Linked DNA regions of Ovis aries. The protein of the gene in region 1 purifies or fractionates together with the protein of each later gene. This does not show direct contact. Links are inferred from orthologs where the notes say so. Each region holds a gene or a part of one and is shown on either strand. Other genes may lie near its edges.

Region 1 (5,805 bases):
ACCTGCAAACAAGCTACAGTTCCTTCTCCTAAGTTTAAGGTCCCCACCACATCCTCGCCAAGTCTGTATACAGATTTGAAGATGCCAAATGTCCCAACTTTTCCTCGGCCATCACTGATGTTGTACAGATCTAGGGAGAGACGGACACAGTAAACCTGGGGTCCATACTGGGGAGTCCAAAAGGTGGGCCTGCCTTTATGATCATGAACTATCTGTGGGTCCTCAGAAGAATCTGGCAGTTAGGAGAGTCTGGCTCCGAGACAGGAGTCCTACAGGGGAGGAAGGGGTGGGGCAAATCTGGAAGGACCCTCACGGAGGCTTCGGCAGGATGTGGCAGCCATGAGGCGCTCCCCAGCCAGCTCGGTGAGCCACGAATCCTTCTTCCCACCTTCATCCTCCTCTAGGAATGGGCTGGATGGGGCTACAGCCTCATCCTGGGGAAACCGGACATCTTGAAGGCCTAGAGAGAGTGTAGAGAGGTGGTGGGAGAGAAGAGCGGTGGTTAGGGTTTTAGATGCCAACCGTCAGGGTTGAAGGTACAGGGCGCCACAACTGAGGGGTAGGCATCTCACCTGTGCTCCAGGACATTCTCTCCCCAACTCCCTCACACCATGACTAAGATCAGGAAGCTTCCCTCCAGCCCCTTTCACAAACTCTCTAAAGAGCATTACTGCTTTGGTGAGGCTCTTCCCCAGCCCCTCCCTCCAGGAACCCTTGCTTACCAGTGAGCACAAGAACCCTCAGAGGGACCCTCAGTAAAGTGATGGGTGAGTTGACACGCTGGCAGCCAATGGTCAGTTTGTAGACATACTTGACTGACTGACCCCGAAATGAGGGTGGTCCCTCTACAGGCAGCACTTCGCTGTAGGAGTCTGGTTGGGAAGCAGTAGTCAGGGCAGCCAGAAGTAGCCGGAGAGGTCCTCCCTCCAGGAGCCGCAGAAGGCAATCCAGGGGCCCAGGGGCAGTCACTCACATGATTTGGACTCTCCAGGGTCTAGCCTCAGGTCACAGAAGAGGATTTTTGGTGGAGTGGAAAGGATACACTGACCCCTCTCACCTAAAAAATAGAAGACTGCAACTTAATAACCTCATTGTCTAGCGCTGGAGAAGGCTAGCGAGCAAGTGGGGACAGTAAGCACTGCCAACACGGGGCAAGCCATTCCTCTTTCCTCAAGGTGAGACAGGAACAGCTTTACGCCCCCTAGAGCAATAATTACACTCCACCACAACCCCAATAGGACAGAGACTGTAATGACCCACCAGAACAATTTGACAACTTCACCCTTGGGTAACAATGATTCCATCCCCCTCTGAAGGCAAAAGCCCCATCTCTAACCTCGGTGTGGAAGAAAGACAGTCTGGCTCTCAGGCTGGACCTCCGGCTGACTGGAGTCGGGGGGAGGAAGTGCCACTCGACTCTCACTGGCGTGGAACTGGCAGTGGATTTGGGCACTGGCCCAGGCCAGAGCCTCACTATGGGAGGAGGAAAAGAGGGCATCAGAGGAGCTCCTGACCTCACAAATGCTCTCCCAAACTCCCTACCACACTGAGAAGACCAACACAGAGAGGTGGCTGTCGTCCGGGATCAGAGAATCCAGAACCCCAAAGAGAAACCATTATACACAGAGAAGTATACCATAGGTAGCAGGGGGAGGAGAGAAGAAAGGCGAGCTGAGGGCTATGTCACCCACATCTTCTGTTAACTAGCCCTTCCCTACAATGAGAGCACAATGAACAAGGTGATGGTGATGTAGCCACAGGACAGCCTGAGCTCTGGCTCAGCTCTACAGATAGCAGGCTTCCTCCCAGAAGGCCTGTCTTCTTCAGTACCAGTGTCCCCACCTGGATGCAGAAGTGGCCGTGGGGGGCAGGGGATTGGTGACTGTAACCACACACTCCAGGGCCTCCCCTGCCAGAAAGACAGGACCTCTGCTCAGCTCTGCTACCACTTCAATCATGGCAGCTCCGGGATCGGATCTAGAAGGAAACAAGGGGTATCAGAGGTCAGTACCACGGCAGGGAAGGGTGTCTCGGGCGAGCCTGGGGGTGAGGACCGAGGAAACGGGCGTTCAGTACCACGGTGTCAGAGGGAAGCGCCCAGGTTTGGAGTGCGGGAAGGCGGAAGGCAGGTACGGCGGCAGCTGACCGGGCACTGCAGAGGGAGACGGAGCCGCTTAGGGTCCCAGCCCCCCGCCCCTATCGGCTCCAGGTCATCCCCTCTCTTCCCCGCCGGGACCCCTAGGCCACCCCCGACCCCTTCCCTGGAGGTTCCACCTCCCAGCCCGGGGCCCCGGCCGCCCGGCACCTCGCAACCAAGCCCGGATACCCCTCAGATCGAAACAGGGGACCAGACTGAAACAGGGTACTCGGTGCCTCGAAGGCCTCGGCCGCCCGCCCCTCCGGGCCCGGGCCAAGTGCGTGGCTGCGGCCGCGGCAGAGGCGGGACTTCCCTCCGAGTCCCTTCCGGCCGGAAGCGCCGGGCCGGCTAGGCCGGAAGGGGCTGGGGTGGGCCGGCCGCCCTGGGTCACCTTCCCACGGGCTGGTACCCGGGCGCGGGCGCCGCCCCGGACACCGGCCGGCGGGACCCGGCGCCCACCGCGGGGGGGCCTGGTGCCGCGCCCCGGGGACGGGGCCTGGGCTGCGGCGAACTCCTAGGCCGGTCCCGGGGGCGGTGCCTGGAGGGCCGGCCCCGGGGGCTCCTCCCCTCTCCGCGGGCCCAGTCGCCCTTTGGCCGGGCCAGCTAATCACCGCGGCCCAATGACGTCGAGACCCGATCCTTCCCGCCCAGGTCCCAGAGAGACAACCGAGGGTGAGACCGTGGCGGCTTTATTGCTGTCGCCGCCGCCGCAGCAGCAACAGCTACCTGGTTGCACAGAGACACCGGCTCGCCTCAGCTTTCCCCAGTGGCCCGCTTTCCGAGACAACACCTAAAAACCATCCACGTCCACATCTGGGCTTGGCTGGCCAGATACTTGGTACCAGAAAGCTCGGGAACTGAAACCACCGAGGTCCTGGAGACCCAGGATCCAGGGAATATGGGAACCGGAGTCCCAGCCTCGGAGCAGACCAGCTGTGCCAAAGGCGATCCACAGGCTTCTTGCCCTGAAAATGGCACGGAGGCTGTGCAGGTTACAGACTGTCCAATCCCTGAGGACAGTCAACCCCAGCATGAACAGGGTTACAGCAGTGCGGAGGACTCTGGGCAGCTGATGGCTTCCTACGAGGGGAAAGCTAAGGGCTACCAGGTGCCTCCCTTTGGCTGGCGCATCTGCCTGGCTCACGAGTTTGCAGAGAAGAGGAAACCCTTTAATGCCAATGACATCTCGCTGAGCAACCTGATAAAGCACTTGGGCATGGGCTTGAGGTGAGTCGATCCCATTGCCTAGAGGACCTTGTGCCTCACTTTGTTCCAGCAGAGGCAGGAAAGGGTAAGAAAGCAGGAGGGTGCCTTGTCCTGGTCAGGTGGCCCCTATCTATACCCAACATCATCTAAGCCCATAGTTTTGGAGGGTGAGACTAAGTCAGGTCTCTTTGCAACCCACTTCCTTCCAGTAACTTGTCTGTTTAGCAAGAAAGGGCATTTGAGCCTTGTAGTAAGCCTTACACATCTAGGCTCCCTCTCAGGTGCTCTCTCTTCTCTGAAGACTGCCCTTTGGGATTAGTTATACTTTGTGACAAGGTAGAAAAGATACTCTGGCTGTTTCGGTATTGATACAATGTTGTCTTCTTGGAGGGGAGGGTTCTCAACTCCAGATCCCCCTAAGCAACTGGAGTATTCACTGAACCTCACTCACTTAGGCACAGCATTTTATAGTCCCAACACCCTTTGGCTTCTTTCCTCAAACTCTGGCTCCAGGGAGTGGTTGAGAACTTGCCTGCTCTCAACCCTAAGGAGAGGGCGATGAAAGGTAATATTCACTCTATTCTGGAATAGATGGCCCCTGATATAAAAAGCAAAGAAGACCTTTGACCAGAATGGCCCTGCCTTAGGTGTTCCTAGAGATTAGTTATAATCTTCCAGAGCATTTCCTGGTCCCCTGCCCCAGCAAAGGGTTGCAGACAGGCTGAGAGCTTATCCTGGGCTATAGGACTCCTCCGGATCCTCACTGAGTGTTGGGACCAAGACCCAGTAACAGAGACAGGTGCCTGTGAGGACAGAAAGCATCACCCTGAGGTCATCCTGAGTCAGTTGCCACAGTAAACACAGAACTGTGGAGGGAGGCTTCAAGTATGGGAAACCTAGCTTTGACAGCCTCTTAAGTAGAGGTTCCTTCTCTTCTGCGGTCAGTGCTGTGGGGTTGGGGTGGAGAGCCCGTGGACCTAACCCAAGCCCTCGGCAGTGGGGAGGGCCTGTTGCTGCCTGGGTGTCTGACTCCTTTGACAGTTCCTCTGGGTGGCCTGTACTAGAGCACAGTAATTCCTCCAGGCTGCTTCTGAAACTGACTTGGCTAGTTTAGACCCTAAAAGGCTTTGGGTCAAAACAGGATCTGGGGCCAGGGTACTGAGAGAAGCACCTTGGGGTGCATGTGGTGGGAACACTGAGGTCAAGAACCTGCCCATGGGCATCTTAGCCCCTCCATCCCTAAGTATAAGCTGAATCACAGATGCCTGAAGCTGTCCTCACCCCCTGGACTCAGATCCCCATCCTAGGACAGGGTGGGGATCACTGACACAGGGGTTTTGAGATGAGATGAGGTCCTGCACTGAGGAGAATGCAGGGGTGAGACAAGAATTCTGAATGATTAAGTTGAGGTTGAAATCATGGAAAAGGACAAATAGATCAGGAATAGCCAGCTGTTCAATGGTGTGAGAGAAACATAGGCCCTAAGAGGGAGCTGAATTGGGGGTACACTGATCAGGAGCCCCAGTAAGACAGAGTTCTCTTGGCCTCAGAATGGTAAGAACTCAATTTTGGTTGCTATCCCTTTCAGCCCGAATCCATTCATTCAGTAAATATGTACTGAGTGCTTGTTCTGTGCTAGACACACCTTTGTTCTGCTATCTTCACATCTTGCATTTCTCCCTCACCACCCTAATCGGAGCTGTGCCCTCCCTCCATTTGGCAATCCTTTCTGGCCACCAGTTTCAAAGTCCAGTTTCCTCTAAACTGGCAAAGAAGAGCTGCCTTCCCACTGTTCGTCTTCCCTCCGTCTCCCCTCACTCCCAGAATGTACCCTCCTGTTCTTTAATCATATTTCTCCTTCACTTGCTCCTGTCCTTGTTTATTTCTCTTATGTTCCACTGTTTGTACATATGTTCTTTGTAAACCCAGCAAATATTTGTTGACTGCAGACCAGGTGCCCTGTGCTTGAAGCTGTGGGTAATAAGCAATAAGTCTTTGTCGCTGTCCCTTTCCCCAGGGAACTGAAAAGTATGTCAGACTCACGTGAGAAACAGTAAAGTAACAGGACAGTGTCTGATTGGGAGCTGAGATAGTGTACATACAAGTAATGATGATATGTGACATGGATATTCCACTTTGTAGCTTTCCTATCTATTGTGTCATTTGTGACCTTAGAAGGGCACAAATGTGCCAATAGAAGGTTATCTATTGTGCCCTTCCAACCATCCCTTGAGGTAGGAAGGGCAAGAGTATCCCCATAGATTCAGCAGGGTTACTTACCCCATTACATAGCTATAAGCAGTGTGCTTGAACAATGGGGATAAATGAACGAACTGCCGAGGGAGGAGAGTGGAATTGGGAGAGAGTCCAGCAGGAAGGGGTTGCTTAGTGAGGACCCACTCTGAATGGAAACTGTAGAAGTATTAGGCTGGGGCTTTCCTGGTGGCTCAGATGGTAAAGGA
Region 2 (5,683 bases), on another chromosome or scaffold:
ATTTTGCCTTTTCATACTGTTCATGGGGTTCTCAAGGCAAGAATACTGAAGTTGTTTGCCATTCCCTTCTCAGGTGGACCATATTCTGTCATACACTATTCTCCTAATCTATGTTAATGAAACATTGTATGGTAATCTGCCTTTCTTCAAGATTCAGGTCTATCGGCTTATGGCCTGGGATGACTCACCTTTTGCCATTCTCTGAGTTTTGAGACATTTCCTATCTTTAATTAGCAGACTGCTAGTAGCTGTATAACATCCAGCTAAAGACTAGCAGGGGGCACTCTTTCTGCCCCCTTCTGATGTCTCTGTCGGAAGCTTTCTCTATGTTTTATTTATTTTTTTTTCCAGTCCTGTGTTCTCTATCTTTTATACTTTAATAAAACTTTATTATACAGAAGCACTGAGCTATCAAGCCTCGTCTCTGGCCCCAGGTTGAGTTCTTCTCCTCCAGAGGCCAAGAATCCTGGTGTCTTTTATTCTTCAGCAACAACCTTTCACCTATAGCTAGAGAAAACCCCTGTGCAGCAAGGAAGACCCAGTGCAGCCAAGAATAAATAAATAAATAAAAATTTAAAAAGAATATACCTATCAATAATTACTAAAAATCAAAGCTTCTCTGTTCATGGGATTCTCCAGGCAAGAATATTTCTCTGTTCATGGGATTCTCCAGGCAAGAATACAAGTGGGTTGTCATTTCCTTCTCCAGGGGATTATTCAATGTATGTTCTTATAAAACAAAGGGAATAGAAGAGCTCACGGAGACAGCAAGGATAGGTGGAAAAGAGAAGCAAATGGACAGTAACACGTGGAGAATGTGGGGCCGATGGAAGTTTTGTTTTAATGGGTGGAATTGAAGAGTTAAAAATTTACATTCCCTCCTGCTCCTTCCCTCTTTGTTTAACTCAGCTTGCTCCTTGCAAAGTCTGGATCACATAGGTCTCAGAAAGTGGGGACTCACAATAATAGGATCTGGAGCTTATCTCACCCTTTTCCTGCTCTTTGCAATCGCCCAACCCCAGCAAACCTGCTTAATCATGCCCGTTTGTGTATAAAAACTCCATAACCCCTTTGTTCAGGGCTCAGAGTTTGGAGTGTTAACTCCTCTGGGCCCGCTGGCGTAATAAACCTGAGTTCTCCAACTCTCCGAGTGTAGTGCCTGGTTTCTCGACTACTGGTTTCTGCAACAGAATGATTCTACAGACTATGAACGATGGGGTAGAATTCTGAGGGCAATCCCAGAAGTGGACTCGGGATGGGAGCCAGTGTAAAAACGGCAGGGTTTGTCTTGGAGAGAAGCAGAGCGTTGGGGACCATAATTACTGCCCCTTTACTGATGGGGAGATCCTTTTCCAGAAGGCTGAAATGTGGCGAATCGCGGGCTGGAAAGGGGACCACTCGCAGTGTTCCCTCTCCATCACCGGAAGCAGAAAACCCCAAGCCTGCAGGAAGTGGGCAGGGCCTACGAGGGTAAGGGAAACAGTGGAGGCGGGCTTAGGGGAGAGAGGGCAGGCCTCTGCCTTTGCAGAATTGCGGTGGGGTGGGAGGCCGAGTCTGGAGCCAGAGGGGCAGGGCTTGTTTGGGGTGAGATCACGGATGGCGACACTGGGCGAGGGGTCTGTGATCGTCCGCTGGGCCAACGTGAAGGGGCGTCCAGCATGCCTTCTGTGGAAAGCAGTTTGGGCTCGGAATGCCTGGAATCTGCAGGCCAGCAACTTGGGGCCAAGGGGAGACCGGAGGAGGGCGGATCCGCGAGACTCCAGGCCGCTGAAAGTCGTAGAGGAGCGTGGCTTCTTGTTTTGAAAAAAAAAAAAAAAAAAAAAAAAAAGGGTGTGCGTCTGTGAGGCTTGCAGCACAAACCAATGAAAAGCGAGGGAGGGCGGAGCCTGTGCAAGAGGCGGCCAGTAGAGACGGAGCTCTTAGAGGAGGGGCCTGTGTCCCGGTGAGTGGCTAGGACTTCGCGCATGCGCGGAGGGGCGCCCTGGATCCAAGCGGCCAAAAGGGGCAAGGACACAGGTGCTTGGCCCAACCCTTTCAAGGCGTGCGCCTGGTCACGTGACACGCAGGGCGCCGAATTCCTCTGGAGCCAGCGCCATTTCCTATGGGTGAAGGTTAAAGTTCCACGGGGGTAGGAGGAGCATCCTGATACGACCTGACCTTGACTCACGGCCTGGATTCGGGAGTCAGATTGGAGTCCAGGCGCTCGGTGGAGGGGAGGGGTCCGGCTTCAGGAGAGGGTCATGCACGCAGACTTGGAGGTGTAGTCATGGGGTGGGCTCACCACTAGGGCGAAGATTCGTGTCCTTGATATCAAAGAGAGGCGGGGTTTCCCGCCGACCCATTGAGAAGCAGGTAAGTGGGAAATAATTGGAGGCGCTGTCGCCGCGTCGACTTGTGGTGGCCGAATTTAGCTGGTCGTGGTAATGTATGGGGAGGGGGGTTGGGCTAGCGTTGCAAGGGGCGTGGCCTGGTTAGGAGCCTGGAGGTGTAAGGGGCGTGATCGCTTAGGTGCGCGAGACAAGGGGCGTGGCCGGGATCTGGGCCAGGAGAGAGGGTGTGCCTTCTGAGTAATTTAATTGTCGCCTCCAAGTCCAAGCACTGCCCTTTCTTCCTTAGGTGTCAGCTCATGGAGACCGCGGCGACTGCCGCCCCAGCTTGGGGCTTCTTCTCCTCTTTCCTGCTCCTGGCCTTCGGGACGCTAGTGGCCGCCTTGCTGGGCGCCGCTCACCGCCTGGGGCTCTTCTATCAGTTGATGCACAAGGTTCGGGGGCATACAGGGGTGGCGGGCCGGGGGCAGTCAAAGGAGTGGACTTCAGTTAGCACCGTTTCCAGCTAACCCATTTCACAGGCGGGGAGAGTGAGGTTCCGATTAATGCAGAGCGACTCACTGGTCGGGAAATTCTAGGATCGGTTGCTACTGTGGAACTGCTTCCGGGACCCTGGACTTTGCCTCTAGGAAGGGGCCACAGGGAAACTACAGCTGCCCGGCACTCCACACCCCGCCCGGCACTCCACACCCCACCCTACCCCCTTCCTTAAAGGTTCTCAGTCCTTTTCACAGAGCGGTGCTCCCTAATACGGTGGAGTCAGAGTGCTGAGGGCAGGCCCCAGAGGATGTGGCTGGCTGTGACAGATTTGTGAGGGTAGCTGTCTGTTCTGCTCAGCGCTTTAGAGCGATTTTCCCAAGTACCCATCAGTTTGTTTTCATTTTCCACAAGCAGAAACCGAGGCTCAGAGAGGGTGTGTGATGACTTGCCTAAGGTGACCTGTTTAGGGAAGAAGTGACTCCACAGACCTGGCTCTGAACTACTTGGCTCCTCGCAGAAATTCACCCTTTCCCAGACCCTTTCCCTGTCTTTTTTTTTTTTTAAGTCTTTACTGAATTTGTTACAGTGTTGCTCCTGTTTTATGTTTTGGATTTTGGCTGCCAGGAATGTGGGATCTTGGCTCTCTGCCCAGGGATCGAACCCACACCCTCTGCATTGGAAGGCAAAGTCTTAACCACCAGCCCACCAGGGAAGTCTCCCTCCTAACCTGGAGCAGTGCCACTAGCCTTGTGGACCTGTAAAGATTTAAGACAAAGGCCGGGCTTCCCAGGTGGTGCAGTGGTAAGGAACCTGCTTGCCAGTGCGGGAGACGTGGATTTGACCCTTAGGTTGGGAAGATCCCCTGGAGAAGGAAATGGCCACCCACTCCAGTATTCTTGCCTGGGAGGTCCCGTGGACAGAGGAGCCTGGCAGGCTGCAGTCTGTGGGGCTGCAAAAGAGCCGGACATGACTGAGTGACTGAACAACCATAACAGTGACAAAGGCCTCTGGTGTACGGGGCTGTGTGGAAGCTGGGGCTGGGAAGCCCCAGCATTGTCTTTGCCACAGGCTGCTCCTGTGCTAGGCAACTTGGTTGTTGGCAGCCTGTGAATGGGGCCTGGTCCAGTGGGTGGGAGGGGGCCTGGGAGATGAGTTAGCAGTCTCCTGTTGTGGGGACCCGATACTGGAGGGCAGGCCGTTCTGGAGTCCCAGCTGGTGGCTTCTGGCCAAGCTCCCTTGGGCTCTGTGGATCCACCTTTTCTAATCTCTCTTCCTGTTTGCGCCACAGGTGCCTTGAGAGCACTGATTCTATGGGACTTTGAGTCTTGCTCAGGAGTCATGGTCTTTGTAGCTGTAAAAGGATATATTGTCGGGAGGCTCTGATAAGATGCCTGGTGTGGCTCAGTGGTAAAGAATCTGCCTGCCAATGAGGGAGACGTGGGTTCAATGCCTGGGTTGGGACAATACCCTGGAGAAGGAAGGTAACCCATTCCAGTGTTTACTGCCTGGGAAATTCCATGGAGAGAGGAACCTGGTGGGCTACAATCCATGCAGGTCGCAAAAGAGTCAGACACGACCTAGCGACTAAACAAGAGCAAAGCAACACCAAGCTTCCCCTGCCTTCCCGCCTTGCCCCTCCCCTCCTTCCTGGGGGAGGGGTGTAATTCCTCTGCCCACCTGCCCTGGTGTCTGCACCTTGGTCCTTGACAATCTCACTCCTCCCCTCTCCCGGCCCAGGTGGACACGGCAAGCATCCGGCATGGTGGGGAGAACGTGGCAGCCGTGCTGAAGGCCCACGGTGTGCGCTTCCTTTTCACGCTGGTCGGCGGGCACATTTCGCCACTGCTGGTGGCCTGTGAGAAGTTGGGCATCCGTGTGGTGGACACCCGCCACGAAGTCACAGCTGTCTTTGCCGCTGATGCTGTAGCCCGCCTGACCGGTGAGGGCAGAATGGGGAGGGCTGGGGGCTGGTGAGACTGGGATGTGTTTGAGGGGGCAGGGATTTTATTTTGCGGGGAGAGGAACATGGCTGGGAGGGTGGACCCAGCTGAGACAGGGTTTGTGTTCCAGGGACGGTGGGTGTGGCAGCCGTGACGGCAGGCCCCGGCCTCACCAACACAGTGACTGCGGTGAAGAACGCCCAGATAGCTCAGTCCCCAGTCCTGCTCCTGGGTGGGGCTGCCAGCACCCTGCTGCAGGTGCCCTGTCCTGGTGGGGTGGGGGGCAGGTGGCAGGGACCCCAGGGAGCCTGGAAGTGCTCATGTATTGACTTCCTGGATTTTTTCTGTCTCTACTAGAATCGGGGTGCACTCCAGGCAGTTGATCAGATGTCCCTGTTCCGGCCGCTCTGCAAATTTTGTGCTTCTGTGCGAAGAGTGCGGGATATCATCCCCACCCTGAGGGCCGCGATGGCGGCTGCACAGTCGGGTACCCCCGGTAGGTAGTGGGGCGGGGGCTGGGCAGAGGTCCCGCCCTGGGACCTGGGAGGCACGGCAGACTGAGCGTTCTCCTTGTCTCCATGCAGGCCCGGTGTTTGTGGAACTGCCTCTGGACGTGCTGTACCCCTACTTCATGGTTCAGAAGGAGATGGTGCCAGCTAAGCCGCCCAAGGGCCTCATGAGTCGAGCGGTCCACTGGTAAGTAGCCCGGCTCCTACCACTCTCCCTCCCATATTCCCTGGCTTCTCTCACAGATCCCTGCCAGCACCCATCCTTTCTTTGACTCATTCACTGATTTGCACGTTAGTTTGAGAGGAGCCAGCCACGGGGAGAGTTTCCTAGGTAGAGGAGACAGCATATGCAAAGGTCCTGAGGCAGCAATGAAGTTTTTGGGTTGGGAAAGCAAAGTGGCCCGTGTGGTGGCAGCAGGTGAGCAAA

Evidence for each region. The genes of interacting proteins can lie anywhere in the genome.
Region 2: the proteins of GBA2 (region 1) and ILVBL purify together in Homo sapiens (co-immunoprecipitation; 3 studies listed by BioGRID and IntAct, counting the BioPlex papers as one, with this or other methods). This does not show direct contact. The link is inferred for Ovis aries from reciprocal best matches to the Homo sapiens genes GBA2 and HACL2.

The regions. Positions count from the first base shown.
Region 1 is NC_056055.1:52,793,470-52,799,274, forward strand, and holds the start of GBA2 (non-lysosomal glucosylceramidase), read left to right. Parts: upstream 1-2,512; 5' UTR 2,513-3,035; coding exon 3,036-3,364; intron 3,365-5,805. Other genes in the region: RGP1 (RAB6A-GEF complex partner protein 2), read right to left, coding at 3-130, 314-460, 723-872, 974-1,057, 1,337-1,473, 1,843-1,958. UniProt on the Homo sapiens protein: Non-lysosomal glucosylceramidase that catalyzes the hydrolysis of glucosylceramides/GlcCers (such as beta-D-glucosyl-(1<->1')-N-acylsphing-4-enine) to free glucose and ceramides (such as N-acylsphing-4-enine).
Region 2 is NC_056058.1:7,845,286-7,850,968, forward strand, and holds the start of ILVBL (2-hydroxyacyl-CoA lyase 2), read left to right. Parts: upstream 1-2,060; 5' UTR 2,061-2,128; intron 2,129-2,616; 5' UTR 2,617-2,626; coding exon 2,627-2,761; intron 2,762-4,544; coding exon 4,545-4,746; intron 4,747-4,877; coding exon 4,878-5,005; intron 5,006-5,104; coding exon 5,105-5,243; intron 5,244-5,331; coding exon 5,332-5,443; intron 5,444-5,683. UniProt on the Homo sapiens protein: Endoplasmic reticulum 2-OH acyl-CoA lyase involved in the cleavage (C1 removal) reaction in the fatty acid alpha-oxydation in a thiamine pyrophosphate (TPP)-dependent manner. Involved in the phytosphingosine degradation pathway.